Astyanax mexicanus: one gene and its partner. The protein of the gene in region 1 interacts with the protein of each later gene in a biochemical or structural test. Links are inferred from orthologs where the notes say so. Each region holds a gene or a part of one and is shown in the gene's direction. Other genes may lie near its edges. The genes, in order: atf3 and jund.

Region 1 (8,243 bases):
CAACTGCACTTGAGGGTAATTTTAAAGTTCTTGAAATTGTTTGGATTGACTGACATTTATTTGTTAATAAATATTTTTTAATTTATTTAGTTGAGTAGTTCTTGCCATACTATGGATTAGAACATTCCTCAAACAGGGCTGTTAACTAAATACCTATAACTCTTCCTCTTCACAACTTTACAACTGATGCTCTCAAACACATTAAGAGTCAAGAAATTCAAGTAATTAATTCTTGACAAGTTCAGCGCAGCTGTTAACTGAAAGACAGTCCAGGTGACTCTACCTCATAACGAGTGAGAAAATCCAGCCAGGATGTGCAAAGCTTTATCCAAGCAAGAGGTGCTACTTTGAAGAATCTTAAATATAGAACATACTCTGCTTTGTTTAACACTTTTTTGTTCCACATGCTGTTCTTCATAGTTTGAATAACTTTAGTATTCAGACCATTAAAGAACACTGAATTTATATGTTCACAGGTATATAATGATATAAAATGTGATATTTCTAATATTTTAATATATTATTTAGTGTCTGTTCCTGATTTGTAGGAACAAACATCTGTTGTGGGAGTTCTCAGCAGTGTATCTGTGGCTTTTATACTGTTCATAACAAAATCAGAATTATGTGTATGGCTAAATTAAATATTAAGTAAATATATATTAGGTAAACTGGGGTAAATAGCTTTCAGTTCAATATATATTGTGTAAAAGTTTACAATTGTTCTGTAATAATAACCTACAGTGTGTAATATTAACCCATGATGTGTTTAATACATATACCGATCCCAGACCTGTAAAGAGAGTTTGCAGTAGGGTCCCGCGTGCTGTGGGCTGTGGTGAGCGGAGTCGGGTTTTCAGGTGAGGACTGGAGGCAGTGATGATAGTAGCTGTGGTGCTGATGATGGGTGGGAAGCTGTGAGTCACGCTGGGAGCTTTACTGGAATGCAGCGCTGGTCAGACTGAAAGCGCAAATAAAGCATTGATCCCAGTGTTTTCTACTACTGCAGCGATACCGCTCTCTCTCTCTCTCTCTCTCTCTCTCTCTCTCTCTCTCTCTCTCTCGGTCTCGGTCTCGTGATGTTGAGGATCAGGGGATGAGTGTTTTCCTGCGCTTCTAGAGGAGGAAGATATGGGATGACTAGTCTCCATTTCCCGGAAAGGATGACGTAACTCCCCTGTTTTCTGTAAGAAGCTGCTATCTTAAAGACACACTGTGGTCTTTATGGGCACCTTATTGTTACCCTTTCCCCTGTGCCTTACTGTAGAGAATAGTTAAGAAGAAAAAGGCTTAGAAAAAGGCTTAAAGGCGATATGTAAAGTTACTTATAATCTTTAAAATATAATATAATTTTTAAGTCGTTTAAGTTCTCTTTCTGGGTCAGAATGTAACATCAACATTTACCCTTAACTGAAAAACAAAAACATTTTGTATGGTTGAACAACACATGGTATTTTGAGAGGCTTATATATTTTTTGACCATGTGTTGGTACTAAAAATGTAAAAAAGCCTTGAAGCCTTGAAGCAAAAGAATGTGAAAGTAAAGATAAATTAAAGTAAAGGAAGTCAGTTTAGAGTTTTAATCAGCCAAAACTTGATCAGAACACTCATAATAAGATAAGGCAAGGTAATTTGTTCATATTATTTATAGCCCTTTTTATACACAGTAACAACAACTCAATACAAATCGAGGATAAAACATCTTCTTTAAACATCATGTTTATATATTTTTTTATATAATTCTATATTAACTTATTAGGTTACAGGCTCTGTACTTGAAAGGTATATGTAAGTTATACTGTCCCAGTATAAACTGTCACACAAATACACACATAAATGCATAAATAAAAATATTAAATGGTTAAATAAGATACCACATAATACATAAACTGAACTTACTGACATTTTATTATAATCCCAGCAATAACCCTGAGATCCCGTATCCATTTCCTGTTATTTGATTGAAACAGTATGGTATTTTGCTTTAAAAAAAAGATGATGACAGACACAGACACGTTCAATTTTAAATACTTAACAGATAATAAAAGCTGGAAAGCAGCAACTAAACAAATTTTGCTGTAGTTACCCTGGAACCTCATAGTGTATTTATAGCTAATTGTTCTGTATTGACCTAAAAACAGCTGTACATATGCCTCAGTTTCTTTTTGAGGACACACCATGGCCCACAGACCTTTAGCCAGCTGTATGACTACGTACAAAGTAAAGGCAATCTCCATAGATACATAATTGCATAAATATAAAAGTATAGCATTTTTATAATCCCAGGAATAACCCAGAGATCCCCATTTTCTATTTCCTGTTATCTGAATGAAACAGTATGGTATTTTTCTTTTAGAAATTAGAAGTTAGTTTAAAACGGAAATATCTCTGCAGTCACAGCTTTAATGTGTCAAAATCATCTTCCCTTTATGATAAATTGTGAAATATCTTGCCCAGTGCTGATTTCTAGTGGTGTGTGATGTCCATTGGTTGCTAGCTAAGTCCACTAATGTAAACACTGAGCGTCATGATGTGGAGTTAATGCTTGCCTTAAATAGCCAAAAGTCAAAATAGTGTGAAATTAAAGAATAAAATATATGATGCTTTTTTATTATTGGTGTTACAGAATACATTATCATATACCATGGGCCATTAAAAAAGGTTTCTTGACATTTCAGATTAGCTAATACTTTTTTTAAAACTGGGCACCCATTTTGAATTACTGTAGTAAAAAAAATAAAAGTAAAAATATATATAAAAAAAATTTTTTGTCCCTTATCTCAAGAATATGTGATTATCCCTGCAGATAGTATGTTTTCCCTGTTAAACACTTTGTAACATTACAGTAAATACAAATAAACATAAATACAGTAAAAAAACAGTTATAAAATGTTGCGTTATGATATGAATAAAAACAGATGGTATAAAACATTTGCACAGTACATAATGCAGCAACTGCACTGTTAAAAAAATTGGGGGGTATTAACTGCCTCTAGATTCCACTTGTACAGATCACAGATTAGAGTACCCTAAACCCAAAATGTAAATGTGCTTTAATTTTGGTAAAATAATTATTCAAGTGGCTGAATTACCTGTCAGATTACTAGAGTTTTAACTGAAATCAGAAAATGTGCTTTTGAATTTTCAACTAGAAAATATAAAACTCATTTTACTTGTGTCCGTTAATCTTTTTAAACTTTCTGTTTCTAACCACACACCTGTATGTTGTTATTTTTTATTTTTCCCTTATATTATTTTTTATTACTGTATATTTAGTTACATAAAAAAGATGATGACAGACACAGACATGTTAAATTTTAAACACTAAACAGATAATAAAAGCTGGAAAGCAGCAACTGAACAGATTTTCAAAACATGTAGTAGTTACCCTGGAACCTCATAGTGTATTAATAGCTAATTGGTCTGTATTGACCTAATAACAGCTGTACATATGCCTCAGTATCTTTTTGAGGACACACCATGGCCCACAGACCTTTAGCCAGCTGTCTGACTACGTACAAAGTAATGGCAATCTCCATGACGTGATGTAGTCTGTCAGTTGGTGCACTACATAAAGAGTAGTCACACCACCACAATAAACTGTACATATTTACTCAAATGCTTCATCCACAATTAAAAGATATATACAGTAATTAGATTTTTTAGGAATTCTTTAGTCTAGAAAACAGATGTGACTGTTATGTTTTCCTATCTGGCTGTTTTATTTTGTTTACTATTTTCTGGTTATAGTTCTTGTGTGTGAATTTGCTAAGATGTGGGTCCCTCAAGAAATCTACCTATCACTCTGCTCATCACAAATTACAATCATTGCCCACAATGCTGGATAAAGCTATAAGAAGAACACTTTTGCAACTGTTAAGAATGTTGTGGTTCAGTCATACTTTAGGCTTATGTTTTGTTCAGAGGCACAGGGAACATTTTACTGATAAAAGACATTGCACTTACAGACTTCCAACCTAATCATCATTAAAAACCTGTCGGTAGATTTTTACTCTGAAAAATTACAAAAGTTTAGAAGTTTAGAACATTTCTTGGCACCAGTCAGAAAAACCACAGCATGTACTTGGGAAAACCATCAAGTAAAAAATTAAATTTTTTTGTGAAATGATAAAGCTCTTTGGGACAACCTTTCCAGTCATGGGAGTCAACAAGATATGTAAAATCAACAGTGTCATGTTTTGATTGCTATGTTATTGTTCCCTGGTAACTCTATGTGCCTGTGTGTGTGTGAGTGTGTGTGTGTTTACAAAGGCTGTATCTCTATAGAGTGGGAGAGGACAGGACATTTCCAGAACATAGGGTTAGGAGCCTATACTGGGGTGGTTCAAAACAATAAATGGTAATAAACCAGTACTTCAGGATACAGGCTGCACTGGCCTCCACTCCCTGAAATTCTTCTCTGGTAAGTCTGTCTTTGGCAAACTGAAAGAAACACAAGCCCACTTATGTCTTACCTCTGCCCTATCTTAGTAAACTGGAACAATTATTTTACCCTTAATCTTGACCATTAAAGTCTGATTTTCCTAACCTATGTGATTTTTGTCACAAACAGCTGCTGATCTAGCTCTAAGCTAAACTAAAGATGAAAAGTTTGACACACACACATACGTAAAGTAAATATGTATTACCTTAAAAAACTTTCTCCAACTTCCCAGCTTCGCATCTCTGTTTCTATACAGTGATCTGATCAGTCAGGGGTGTGTTTGGTCTTCATAACTGAATCTGGACACAGTTATGATGAAGTGAGAGAGCTGTCACGGCTGTGTGTGTGTTCAACAGATCGAGGGCGAGCTGGCCTGGTTCTGTATAAAGAGGGGCAAGCTGTCCTACTTTTTTGGTAACGTTTCAAGACAGCATACCAAAACTCCCCAGTCATTAGTCAGGCATGCCTTTATTTGCTCATTAGTGTAAAATGTTTGGAGCTACATTCCCGCAGTTCTGGAGGGGTGTGTGGGGGGGTGATCCTGTCCTCTTATGGTGTCTGTGTGGAGAGGGTTGCCTGATTGCATCATCGCAGAGCAAAGCCGCTCTCAGTGCTATAAATAGGCTGACGTCACCATGCCCAGCCCCGCCCCCTTTTACTAGTAAGATGCCTCGGCGAGGCTCCTACTATAAAGCGAGGGTGATGCAACGCGCCGCCGAGAGCTGTAAGTTTCTCAGCTGAGAGAGAGAGAGAGAGAGCACGCCGAGCCCGGACCCGTCCACGCGCCCTGCTCACACACACGGTGAGTACAGCCCCGCTCAGCCGCCGCCGCCTCTGCTGCTCCCAGAGCCGAGTCTCTGGGTTTCACACACAGACTGAAACAGGCGAGGCAGGGCGCGCGCGGGCTTTAAACTTTCCTCACCACACTCCGAGAGTCAGACCGGCTGCTTTACCCCTATAGCGAGAGAGATCTGCCCCCAATCTCAACGGGAAAGAGCTAAAACACGCAGAAAGACGAGCGATATGCCGATACAGGCTATAGGCTCGCTCTCGATCAGTCGGATTAGCAGACACACACTGAAGACTTTTCTCCTCTTCCCACACTGACTCCCACAACCTGTATCTTCATAATGACAACTTCTAAACTTTTACCACAACTCAGTTCACACACTAAGAAAAAATAGTACAGATTTGTACTTAAAAGAGGACCAAGCTTGTCGCTGTGGCTGTACTTTTTATTGAGAGCACATTTCAGTTAAAGTTTCGTTTTTTCATGTTTTTTGTACCAGTAAATATTTTAAAGATTATCTTCTTACAGAGTATGTGTCAAGAACTTGATGATCCAAAATTGTCTGGCTTTCAAATGAAAAATGTGTAATTAATATATATATATATATATATATATATATATATTGTTTATTCGTACAGTGATACAGAATACCGGTTAAATGGCTGGTTAAATTGTACAAATCTGTACCTCCTCCCTGTTCAAGAAAGTACTTTTTCGTACCTCTGGTTTTTAGTCTGTAAAGTACTTTATTCCAGCGCAAAGTTGAGTATTTCTGTTGATCCGTTCATCATGAAAGTTTGATGAAACGACAAAAAGCTACCTGATTAAAACTTTGACAAAATGTAAATATGCCGTTTTTGCGTGATAGTGACGATGTATATTTTACAGGGTAAATTAAATTGTGAGCTCGCTCAGGACACATGGCTATCTTGCTTCAGTAAACTGTTTATATGCAGGTGTTCTAGTGTGAGCAGTGTGCAGTACTACAGGTCTAACCCGCGCTGTGGATTTATATGTGTTCAGGTTTCAGAATGATGCTTCAGCATTCCGGACTGGGTTTCGGTCCTTCAGAAATCAGCGCCTCTGCCCTGGTGCCCTGTCTGTCTCCGCCGGGCTCCCTCACGCTCGACGACTTTACCACGTTCAGTCCGCTCGTCAAGGAGGAGCTGCGCTCCGCCATCCACAACAAGCGCCTTTCCAGCGGCATGAGCGCCACCCCGAGCTCCGGAAGCTCCAGCTCGGGCCCGTCCTGCGAGCCCCCAGTCAAGAGAGAGGTACTCCCGGCCACCATCATCACCACCTACAGATCAGCTCTTTCAGAGACATCAGTTAACTTTACATTAATTTGCTTGTTGTGGGATTGTATCCAAGTGCATCTCAAAAAATTAGAAGAGCATTGAAAAGTTACTTTATTTCAGTTATTCAATTTAAAATGTGAAACTTATATATTATATAAATGTATTAAACACACAGTGATCTATTTTACACATTTATTTATTTTATTGTTGGTGATTATGTCTAATGCACCTATATATAAGAGTTTCACATTTTGAACGTAATTACTAAAATAAAGTAACTTTTTAAAAGATATTCTATTTTTTGGGATGCACTAGTTTGTGATTAAAGTGAACAACATACATTTTATTGAGCCAAAGTGCAGTTTAAGAAGTAAAGATATAAGAAACATTCATAAAAGAGCATTAACCTATACTGACTATGCCGAGAAACTAACGTGTTAACTCACTCCCTTCCAGTTTACCTCTGAAGAAAATGATCGGAGGAAAAGAAGACGAGAAAGAAACAAAATTGCTGCTGCCAAATGCAGGAACAAAAAGAAGGAGAAAACAGACTGTCTGCAAAAGGTAGAGTTTGGTTAAGTTGTCTTTTAAGAGAATGTACAAGCAAAAAGTGAAAAGCTTTTTCAGTATTTTCTCTTTAAATTAACCTCACAAACTCACACATTAATTCGTATTACTAATGAATTCACATATTTATGGTATATAGATTAACACTTAAGAATAATAAGTATTTTTTTTATCAAATCCTTTGTTAACATTTCCTTGTTGTTTATTTGTGCCTGCTTGAATCAAGAAAATTCATCACATCTGCTTTACAGTATAATAATAATTAATTGTTACTTGTTCTTTTCTTGTACTCCTGTAGGAGTCTGAGAAGCTGGAGTCTATAAACGCTGAGCTGAAAGCTCAGATCGAGGAGCTAAAGAACCAGAAACAGCAGCTAGTCTACATGCTCAACCTGCATCGGCCAACCTGCATCGTGCGTGCCCAGAACGGCCAGACTCCAGAGGACGAGAGGAACCTCTTCATCCAGCAGATCAAGGAGAGCACCCTGCAAGGTCTAAACCTGACTACCGTCGGACCAGTGCTTGCCACCACTGTGCCAACCACATGTGGCCATCTCTAATGTACAGACTGCGAGGCTCTCGCCGTAAAGTTTCAGGACATTCTTTGCCAAGGGGGATCACAGAATCCTGTAGGAGACTACAAATAAAGACTAAGGACTAAGAAGAAGGTGGGTGCACCCCACATACTCTTGATGTCTCTCTGTAAGCAGTCTGTCAAAGCACTAACATTGAAAGACATTTGATGTGTTTAATGTTGTATACTATTTAAAACTGTAAAACAACTGTCAAATAACAATTTCATGCTGTTCTATATGTGCACCAAAGCGTGATATCATGTCCCCTAAAGTGACGTGATTTCATTTATATAGACATATGTTGTCATGTATAACCTTGTTAAATATAGTTTTGTGATGCTAGCGGTACCCAAGGAGGAATAGTACTGTAGTAATAAAACTGAATACACTGTGTTTTTAAGAATGAGGTGAGGATTGATATGCTCCATGTCATTAAATGGAACATACAGTTATTTTTCCAGAATGATGCATAATTCAGTGGTTGAGATGCTAACAAGTCAGCATGTGTAATTTGCTGGAATTAATTATACACAGTGGCAGTGATAGAAAGAGCATTAATCTGGCCAATTTATT
Region 2 (7,863 bases), on another chromosome or scaffold:
GTAACGATTCAAATTAATTAATTAATTAATTAATTAATTAATTAATAAGTCAGTCAGGCTATGTTGTTGGCTATATAGCTAACTAGCTAGTCAGCAAGCAAGGAAGTTTGCTAGCTATTAATGTGTCCGCTTTTGGTACACCAAGGCCATAAAATTCAAAATATAACCACACACTTACATATAACCTTTAAAGATTACATTACAAAAAAGCACATATACTACGATAATTACTCGGATGGATCAAGATTCGCCCGCTTTTCACCTGCCTCGCGATCCTCGCCAGACGTTTCTCGTTCATGGACTGAACTTCTGAGCATGCGCAGCATCTGTCCTACGGAAGCTTGTGCAAGTCACACAACACTGCGTTACCAAAGCCAGTTTACTGGAGAATACGCGGGCATTAAACCAAACTAAGTGGATTGTGTGGCTTCAGCGGGTCTTCAGTTTATGTTAAATCAGCCAAGCTGAACTTGGTTTAAAGCTAAAAATGAGTACCGGTGCACTTAAGTTATTTGTTTCAAACATTGTATTTCCCTGTGGGTATGAGCCAAATCTAGCTAAACCAAAAACACTTCACAAAATATCCCTTATTTACCGTGTGAACCACATTACACTACTAACGCAACTCCGAGACTGGCCGTTTAATGACGTTAGCCTGCTAGCGCTAGCATACTAGCGCCCTAGCACAAGCGAAGCTCATAATTCACACATTTGAAGACAAATATGAATAATTAACTAAACATAAAAATATATTTTACACTATATGTGGTTACAACACCCCTAGGATGCGATCAAAAGTCCGTGAATTGAGTTTAAAAGTTTGTTTTACGAGCTATGCTGGCGCTAGGGTGCTAACGCTAGCGAGCTAACACTAGCAAGCTAACGCTAGCGCCCTAGCGCTAGCATAGCTCGTAATTCACACATTGGTTGGCAGATATGAGTATCCAGATACACGTAAAATTAAAATGTACACTATATGAGGTTACGACCACATGATGCGACCACAATTCCGTGAATTGAGTTTAAAAGTTTGTTTTACGAGCTATGCTGGCGCTAGGGTGCTAACGCTAGCGAGCTAACACTAGCAAGCTAACGCTAGCAAGCTAACGCTAGCGCCCTAGCGCTAGCATAGCTCGTAATTTACACATTGGTTGGCAGATATGAGTATCCAGATACACGTAAACATAAAATGTACACTATATGAGGTTACGAGACCCACATGATGCGACCGCAATTCCGTGAATTGAGTTTAAAAGTTTGTTTTACGAGCTATGCTGGTGCTAGGGTGCTAACGCTAGCGAGCTAACACTAGCAAGCTAACGCTAGCGCCCTAGCGCTAGCATAGCTCGTAATTCACACATTGATTGGCAGATATGAGTATCCAGATACACGTAAAATTAAAATGTACACTATTTGAGGTTACGAGACCCACATGATGCGACCGCAATTCCGTGAATTGAGTTTAAAAGCATTTTGTGATTAAAAAACGCTAATGCTAACTTGGCTAGCTAGCTAACATGAAGCTGACTGGCCAGGTAGATATTTTATTACACAGTGAGGTTTCTCTTACCTAAATTCCCCATACACACGAACTGCTTTTAATAAATTACCAAGTACAGCTTAAATATACATATATTTATGACTAATACTCACCGCACTCTCTGCTTTTCCAAAATAAAATGGCGCTGCTGCTGAAGAGAAGTCCACAGACAGCCACGAATGTCCCGGATGAAGAAAGTAGCCAGCCTGTTGAGTTTACTTCACTGGGATGCGTTCACCAAACATGCACTTATTAATTAAATCAGACAACTTAACTGACTTTCATCACAGCAGTCCAACTGACTCAGGTTTCACTTGCTAACACAAAGCTGTTAAGTAATTTTAATTAAAAATACTTGATTAAAATCAACAACAGGGTGAGTTTATTTTTTTGAGTGTAGTGACCCTATTGTGTGTTACTGCATCTATTAAGTCTATTCAGTCATCTGCTTATTTTTCAGTGACAACATGAAACACAATACTAAATTATCTTTCTCAGTATCTCTTCTCCTTCTCTTTCCAAGTTTCCATATGGAGGTTTTGTTTTGACTGCAACAATATCTATGTCTCACTGTCTGATCAGGACATTACAATGAGTAAATATTTGTCTGGCACTGAAACAAACAGTACAGGGGCCACTTCCCCATTTCAATACAGCTTCCATATCTATAGAGAACATGAGTTACTGTACATAGTTCCACATATGCATGAAAAGGATATTCTCACATCATTTTTGTTTAAGATTTGCATATTTTCTCTTGGGTTTGATTGGTTGCCATGGAACAAATCCACTGCATGTGATTCGCTATTATTTTATTACACCTCTGAAATTATTGAAAGCAGCTGTGCTATAAGCAGGGGCGTAGCAGCAAATTCGGGGCCCTGTACACTCTCAGTGACAGTGGGCCCCTATCCATGCCAGTACACAAGGAACGTGAGCAAAAATTTTCATGGGCCCCTCTCTCTACTTGGGCCCTGGGTGGTCAGGTCCACTTTTCCCCCCACTACCACGCCCATGGCTATAAGAACAATAGAAATGTCTGTAAAGAGTTAAATGTTAAAGAGGCTGGTCCAGAGCTTATGTGCTGCTAAAAACAGAGAATCCAGGTAAACACCACCCCACTAAATGACCCCCTGACCCTGTATTTAAAACACTGAGTTATAAACAAATAGAAAAAAGAAAGAGCAGCATCAAAAGCTTGGTCACACCAAACAATTTAAGCATTTAGATCATTTTTTCCAGGGTCCTAGACCTTGGCTGGACTTGTCCATGATTATCTCCATATAATGTACATTATAAAGCTTTATGAATGCTCTGGCTGCATCTTAATTGAGTACCACACACTAAAACTATGGGTTTAGACCCTACATTGATCTTAATAGTGCATGTTTGACAGGTTAGTATACACAAAAAAAACAATACATTATTCTCTTTTGTACTAGCTTGCCACCAGCTACTGGAGCCCTGAGAGAGCACAATTGGCCTTGCTCTCTCTGGGTGGGTAGATGGAGCTCTTTCCCCTTATCACTCCTAGGGTGATGTCCATCAGCACAAGGCATCTGTGAACTGATGTATTAGAACCGAGTCGCTGCGCTTTCCTCCAAGCGTGCAGTGATGCTACTCGGCAATGCTGCATCAGTCGCAGTTTAAAAAGAGGTGTGGCTGACTTCACATGTATCAGAGGAGGCATGTTCTAGTCTTTTGAATACAGTCAGCAAAGATATGTTTTGCTAAAACAAAGTCTGACAAATTTTATGAAAATAACACCTTCCCAAGTGTTAAGCAAGGGAGTGGAGGGGTCATGCTTTGGGCTTGTGTTGCAGCCAGTGATGCCAGCTGACTGGCATCGTTTACATCTCAGACAGATAATTTAAACAGTCGGTCCATGTGCTCTAAATGGTAGATGAACTGTGGATACTCCAGATTACACTGAACTTCTCTCGGGCTTACAGCAGTCAGACTCTCTCAGAGTGTGTTTATGTGGAAATGTGTGACTCCTGCGTCCTCAGATATGAAAACAGTGTGCAAAGTTGAGCTGCAGACGTCCAGAAAGTCTCCACAGGATGGAGGAAGGGTAACATTTCCAACCAGACATTGTTCCAGCCTCTCCTACACCTCCTTCCAATCTCTCTCTCTCTCACTTTTCACTTTGATGTGTCTGAAAGCCTCCATAGACTTGAGGAATAGGAGTTTCCAACCAGACACTGTTTCAGCCTCCTCCTCCCTCTCTCTCTCCCTCTCTCTGTATCCACTTTGTTTATCTATCTCTCTTTCTTAATATTGAGGTGTCTGAGAGCCTCCTAAGAAAAACTTTAAGAAAAGGAATTTCCAAGAAGAAACAGTTTCAGCCTCTCTCTCTCTCTCTCTCTCTCTCTCTCTCTCTCTCTCTCTCTCTCTTTCTTTCCCTATCTTTACTTTGAGGTGTCTGAAAACCCCCTAAAAAAACTGTAAGAAACATTCTTCCTTCTTTCCCTCTTTCTTCGTTCTTACCTTCTTTCTTTCTCTTTTGCTCTCTCTGTCATTTTTATTTCTCTATTTATTTATTTCTCCTTCGTTATTGTCTTTCTTTCAATCTTTGTCTCTCTTTATTTCTTTATTACTTTATTTATCTATCTTTCTTTCTTTTACTCTCTCTCTTTATTTATCTATTATTTATTTCTCTTTCTTTTTTCTTTCTTTTTCTTTCTCTCTGTCTCTTTTTATTTCTCTATTTATTTCTCTTTCTTTCCTTCTTTTACTCTCTTTATTTCTCTATTTATTTATTTTTCTTTCGTTTGATCTCTCTTTCTTTCTCTATTACTCTATTTCTCTTTCTTTCTTTCTGCCTGTTTTTCTTTCTTTTATTCTTTCTATATGTCTGTCTGTGTTTCTTTATGTCTTTCTTTCTGTCCAGCTTCCTGTACTCAGTTCCTCCACAGGCTGCTGCTGTTGCTATAAAAGCAGCATTTCCACGCAGACGCCCCGCCCCCTCTCCCTCCGCCCTCCTCCCCCCTCATCCTCCCAGCCCCTCCCGCGCGCTCCGGCTCCGGCTCCGCTCCCTCGCTCGCGCCACCCTCGCGCGCTCCCCTACGTCTTCTGTCATGACATCAACCCAGAATGCAGCGCGCTGTTTGCAGTTTGCCCCCGCGTCTCCGGGGCGACGGGGCAGGGGCCCGCCCCTTTATGCAGATGAGGCCGGGGGAGAACGTCATCTCGGTCCAATCTGCGCGCGCTGGGGTGACATAATGGAAATTTTTTTTCGGGCGAGCGAGAAAAACTTGCAAATGTTTTATTTTCCGCCCATCCTGAACCCGGGAAGGCTGCGGGGCTGAGAAGCGCTCACACCACGATCTAAAGCGAGAGACGGGGAACGTAAGGAGTTACGTGAGAAAACGAGTGGGTTTTTTTTGTATTTTTTTCGGGGTTTTAACGTGTTTTGGGCTGTTTTACTGACTCTTACCTAAAGCTGGGATACGTGGCTACTCAGATGGACGGCTGTTTAGCGCACAGGCTCATTTTACCCCCTCTTAGGGAGTAGAATGGGCAACCACAACAAACCCAACGCTACCTAACCTTCTACTACTAGACCCTGAAGAAGTGGTTAACAGGTAAAAACAGCAGAAAAAGAGAAACACCCCAAAAGAGACTCTCACCACCATCAACACCACCTTCACCACTTCATCCACACCTCCACCACAGAGGCATGATGAAGAAGGAACTAAGCCTAAACCTGAACGAGCAGAGCGCCGCCTCCGAGCTCAAGCCGGAGCTGAGGGACGGCGAGGCCATGCTTGCCTCAGCCGAGCTGGGTCTTCTCAAGCTGGCCACCCCGGAGCTGGAGAGGCTCATAGCCCAGTCAACGACTCCCGCCGCCTCCGCGCAGTTCTCCTCCTACCCCAAGTCCGTCAGCGACGAGCAGGAGTTCGCCGAGGGCTTCGTCAAAGCCCTGGAGGACCTTCACAAGCAGAACCAGCTGAACGGAGGGGCGGCCGGAGCGCTGGGCGGCCGGCTTCTAGCGAGCCACGCCGGCTTGGCTCTACCCACAGACCTTCCCGTGTACACGAACTTGAGCACGTACAGCACCACGGTGAACTACAGCACGGATACCATCCCTTTCCCACCACCTCCTCCACCTCCACCTCCTCCACAGCAGCAGCAGCCAGCACCACAGCAGGCTCCCACCTCAGCCGAGCAGCACTCGCGGCTCCAGCCCCTCAAGGACGAGCCCCAGACCGTCCCCGACGTCCAGTGCTTCGGCGACAGCCCCCCGCTCTCGCCCATCGACATGGACACGCAGGAGCGCATCAAGGCCGAGCGCAAGAAGCTGCGCAACCGCATCGCCGCCTCCAAGTGCCGCAAGCGCAAGCTGGAGCGCATCTCGCGGCTGGAGGACAAGGTGAAGTCCCTCAAGAGCCAGAACACGGAGCTCGCCTCCACTGCCAGCGTGCTGAGGGAGCAGGTGGCGCAGCTCAAGCAGAGGGTCCTCAACCATGTCAACAACGGGTGCCAGCTGCTGCCCAGCCAGGTGCAGGCCTACTGAGATACTGAGATAGAGGAGGAGGAACTCTGGGAGAGACCTTTCTATCTATCTGTCTATCTATCTACCCTCTCTACTCCTCTTTCTCTTTATTTTCTGATCCCTACTCCTCACACTATGGTGCCCTGCTGCTGACATGCAGTGAAAATGAAACTAGGTCGTGGCCACGACTTGATCCCATGTCATGTTCATGTTTATGTTCAAGCTGTATGAGCTGTAAGGCATAGGAACTTGATTGTTAAGTATTGACCACAATTTAATAAGGCGTGGAAACAAGAGAGTTAAGTCGTGGCCATAGCTTTCTAAGGTGTGGGACAAGATGATAATAATTAAGTAATTGCCACAAGTTAGTTAAGTGTGGGAAGGACAAAATAGAGTTGTGACCACAGCTTACAAAATAATTAAGTTGCTGCCTCAATTTACTAAGATGACTTAATTAAGTAAAATATGGGAACAGGATCCTATACTGTGTCCACAACTTAATATGGTATGGGAAAAGAAAAATAAGAGTATTGCTATTCATTTTGTTTTTTATAAATGTGGGAACAAGAAAACTCCAAAAAGTCATGACCATGATTTAGTAAGTTGTGGGAACCAAGTAATTAAGTCATGGCCTCTACCTAATAAGGTGTGGGAACAAGATAATTAAGTTGTGGCCACAAGGTAGTGAAACAATGGAGACATGATGAGTCATTAAGTCATGGCCTTGGCTTGGAAAAAAGTGGGAACATGATAATTAAGCTGTATTTACAAGCTAATACGCATAACATAATGAAGTTGCGGCCATGACTTATAATAACAAGATCTTGTTCCTATGTGGACACAGCTTATTTTTACTTACGTTGGCTTTCCGCAGCAGGGCTCCATATCTCCTCCTCCAGCAGAAGAACATAGACTTTATGAACTTTACGGAGCTACGGCAAAACACCAAAAATAAGGGGACATCACCAAGGGTGGGTTCAGGTATAATAATGGAAAGGTCCATCAGGTCACATGGGACAGTGCTTTGGTATGGTATAGTATGTATAAGATAAGTATATTGTACATTCCTGAAAAGCTTAAATAGAACTAAAAAGCTGGTTTACAGCTTTTTAAATACTCAAGGCTAAGAGGTTTTCAGTATTTAAGCTGTATTTAACTGTTTCTTCCTTAAAAACTCTAAAATAGCTCTCAATTTGAGGGAACAAGTCCTAGGCCAAGAATGTTGAAACCGGTTTTCACCTAAAATGACATTTCTAATCAAATCTACTCATTCAGAACATCTGGATCAGTAAACATCAGCTGAAACTGGAATAAACAAAAGTGTTGTCCTACTAAAGTGTCCTCCCATGTTACCAGAAGGCCCAGCGTACCCAATCCACCCTCTTTTGGTGCTGATGTATAAAGACAGAGATGTTTTCAATATGTTTACACCGTTTTGTAGCAAATGGACTTCTCTAAGGGACTGTCTGAAAGAACACTACTACTACTACTACATTTGGTTCTCAAGCCTGTTTTAGGCCTATTTGGGACAATTTGGGACTATTTTGGACTGTTTGGGACAAGAGGAGAAGACTAAACGCAGCAGTGTTTTGCATGATAACGAGACAAGCTCAGTGAGCGCAACCAAACACAGATTGTCATGCATGCACTCTTCATGTGTAAAGCCTTATTTGTCTACGAGCACTTATTACCCGATGACCTTATCTATTTTGTATACAGCTTTTCACACAATGTCTTATCTTCCTTGTTTTGTTATTATTTTTGCTATTGTGAATTGTTTGCTGTTATGAAATATGTTTGTTTTTTTGTTATGGACTCGCGTGTC

Evidence for each region.
Region 2: the proteins of atf3 (region 1) and jund form a complex in vitro, tested with the Homo sapiens proteins (2 studies listed by BioGRID and IntAct, with this or other methods). The link is inferred for Astyanax mexicanus from reciprocal best matches to the Homo sapiens genes ATF3 and JUND.

Annotation. Positions count from the first base shown.
Region 1 is NC_064408.1:57,292,464-57,300,706, reverse strand, and holds the start of atf3 (cyclic AMP-dependent transcription factor ATF-3), read left to right. Parts: upstream 1-5,114; 5' UTR 5,115-5,243; intron 5,244-6,254; 5' UTR 6,255-6,262; coding exon 6,263-6,505; intron 6,506-6,985; coding exon 6,986-7,093; intron 7,094-7,394; coding exon 7,395-7,655; 3' UTR 7,656-8,243.
Region 2 is NC_064411.1:48,553,044-48,560,906, reverse strand, and holds the start of jund (transcription factor jun-D), read left to right. Parts: upstream 1-4,705; 5' UTR 4,706-5,222; coding exon 5,223-6,059; 3' UTR 6,060-7,863. UniProt on the Homo sapiens protein: Transcription factor binding AP-1 sites.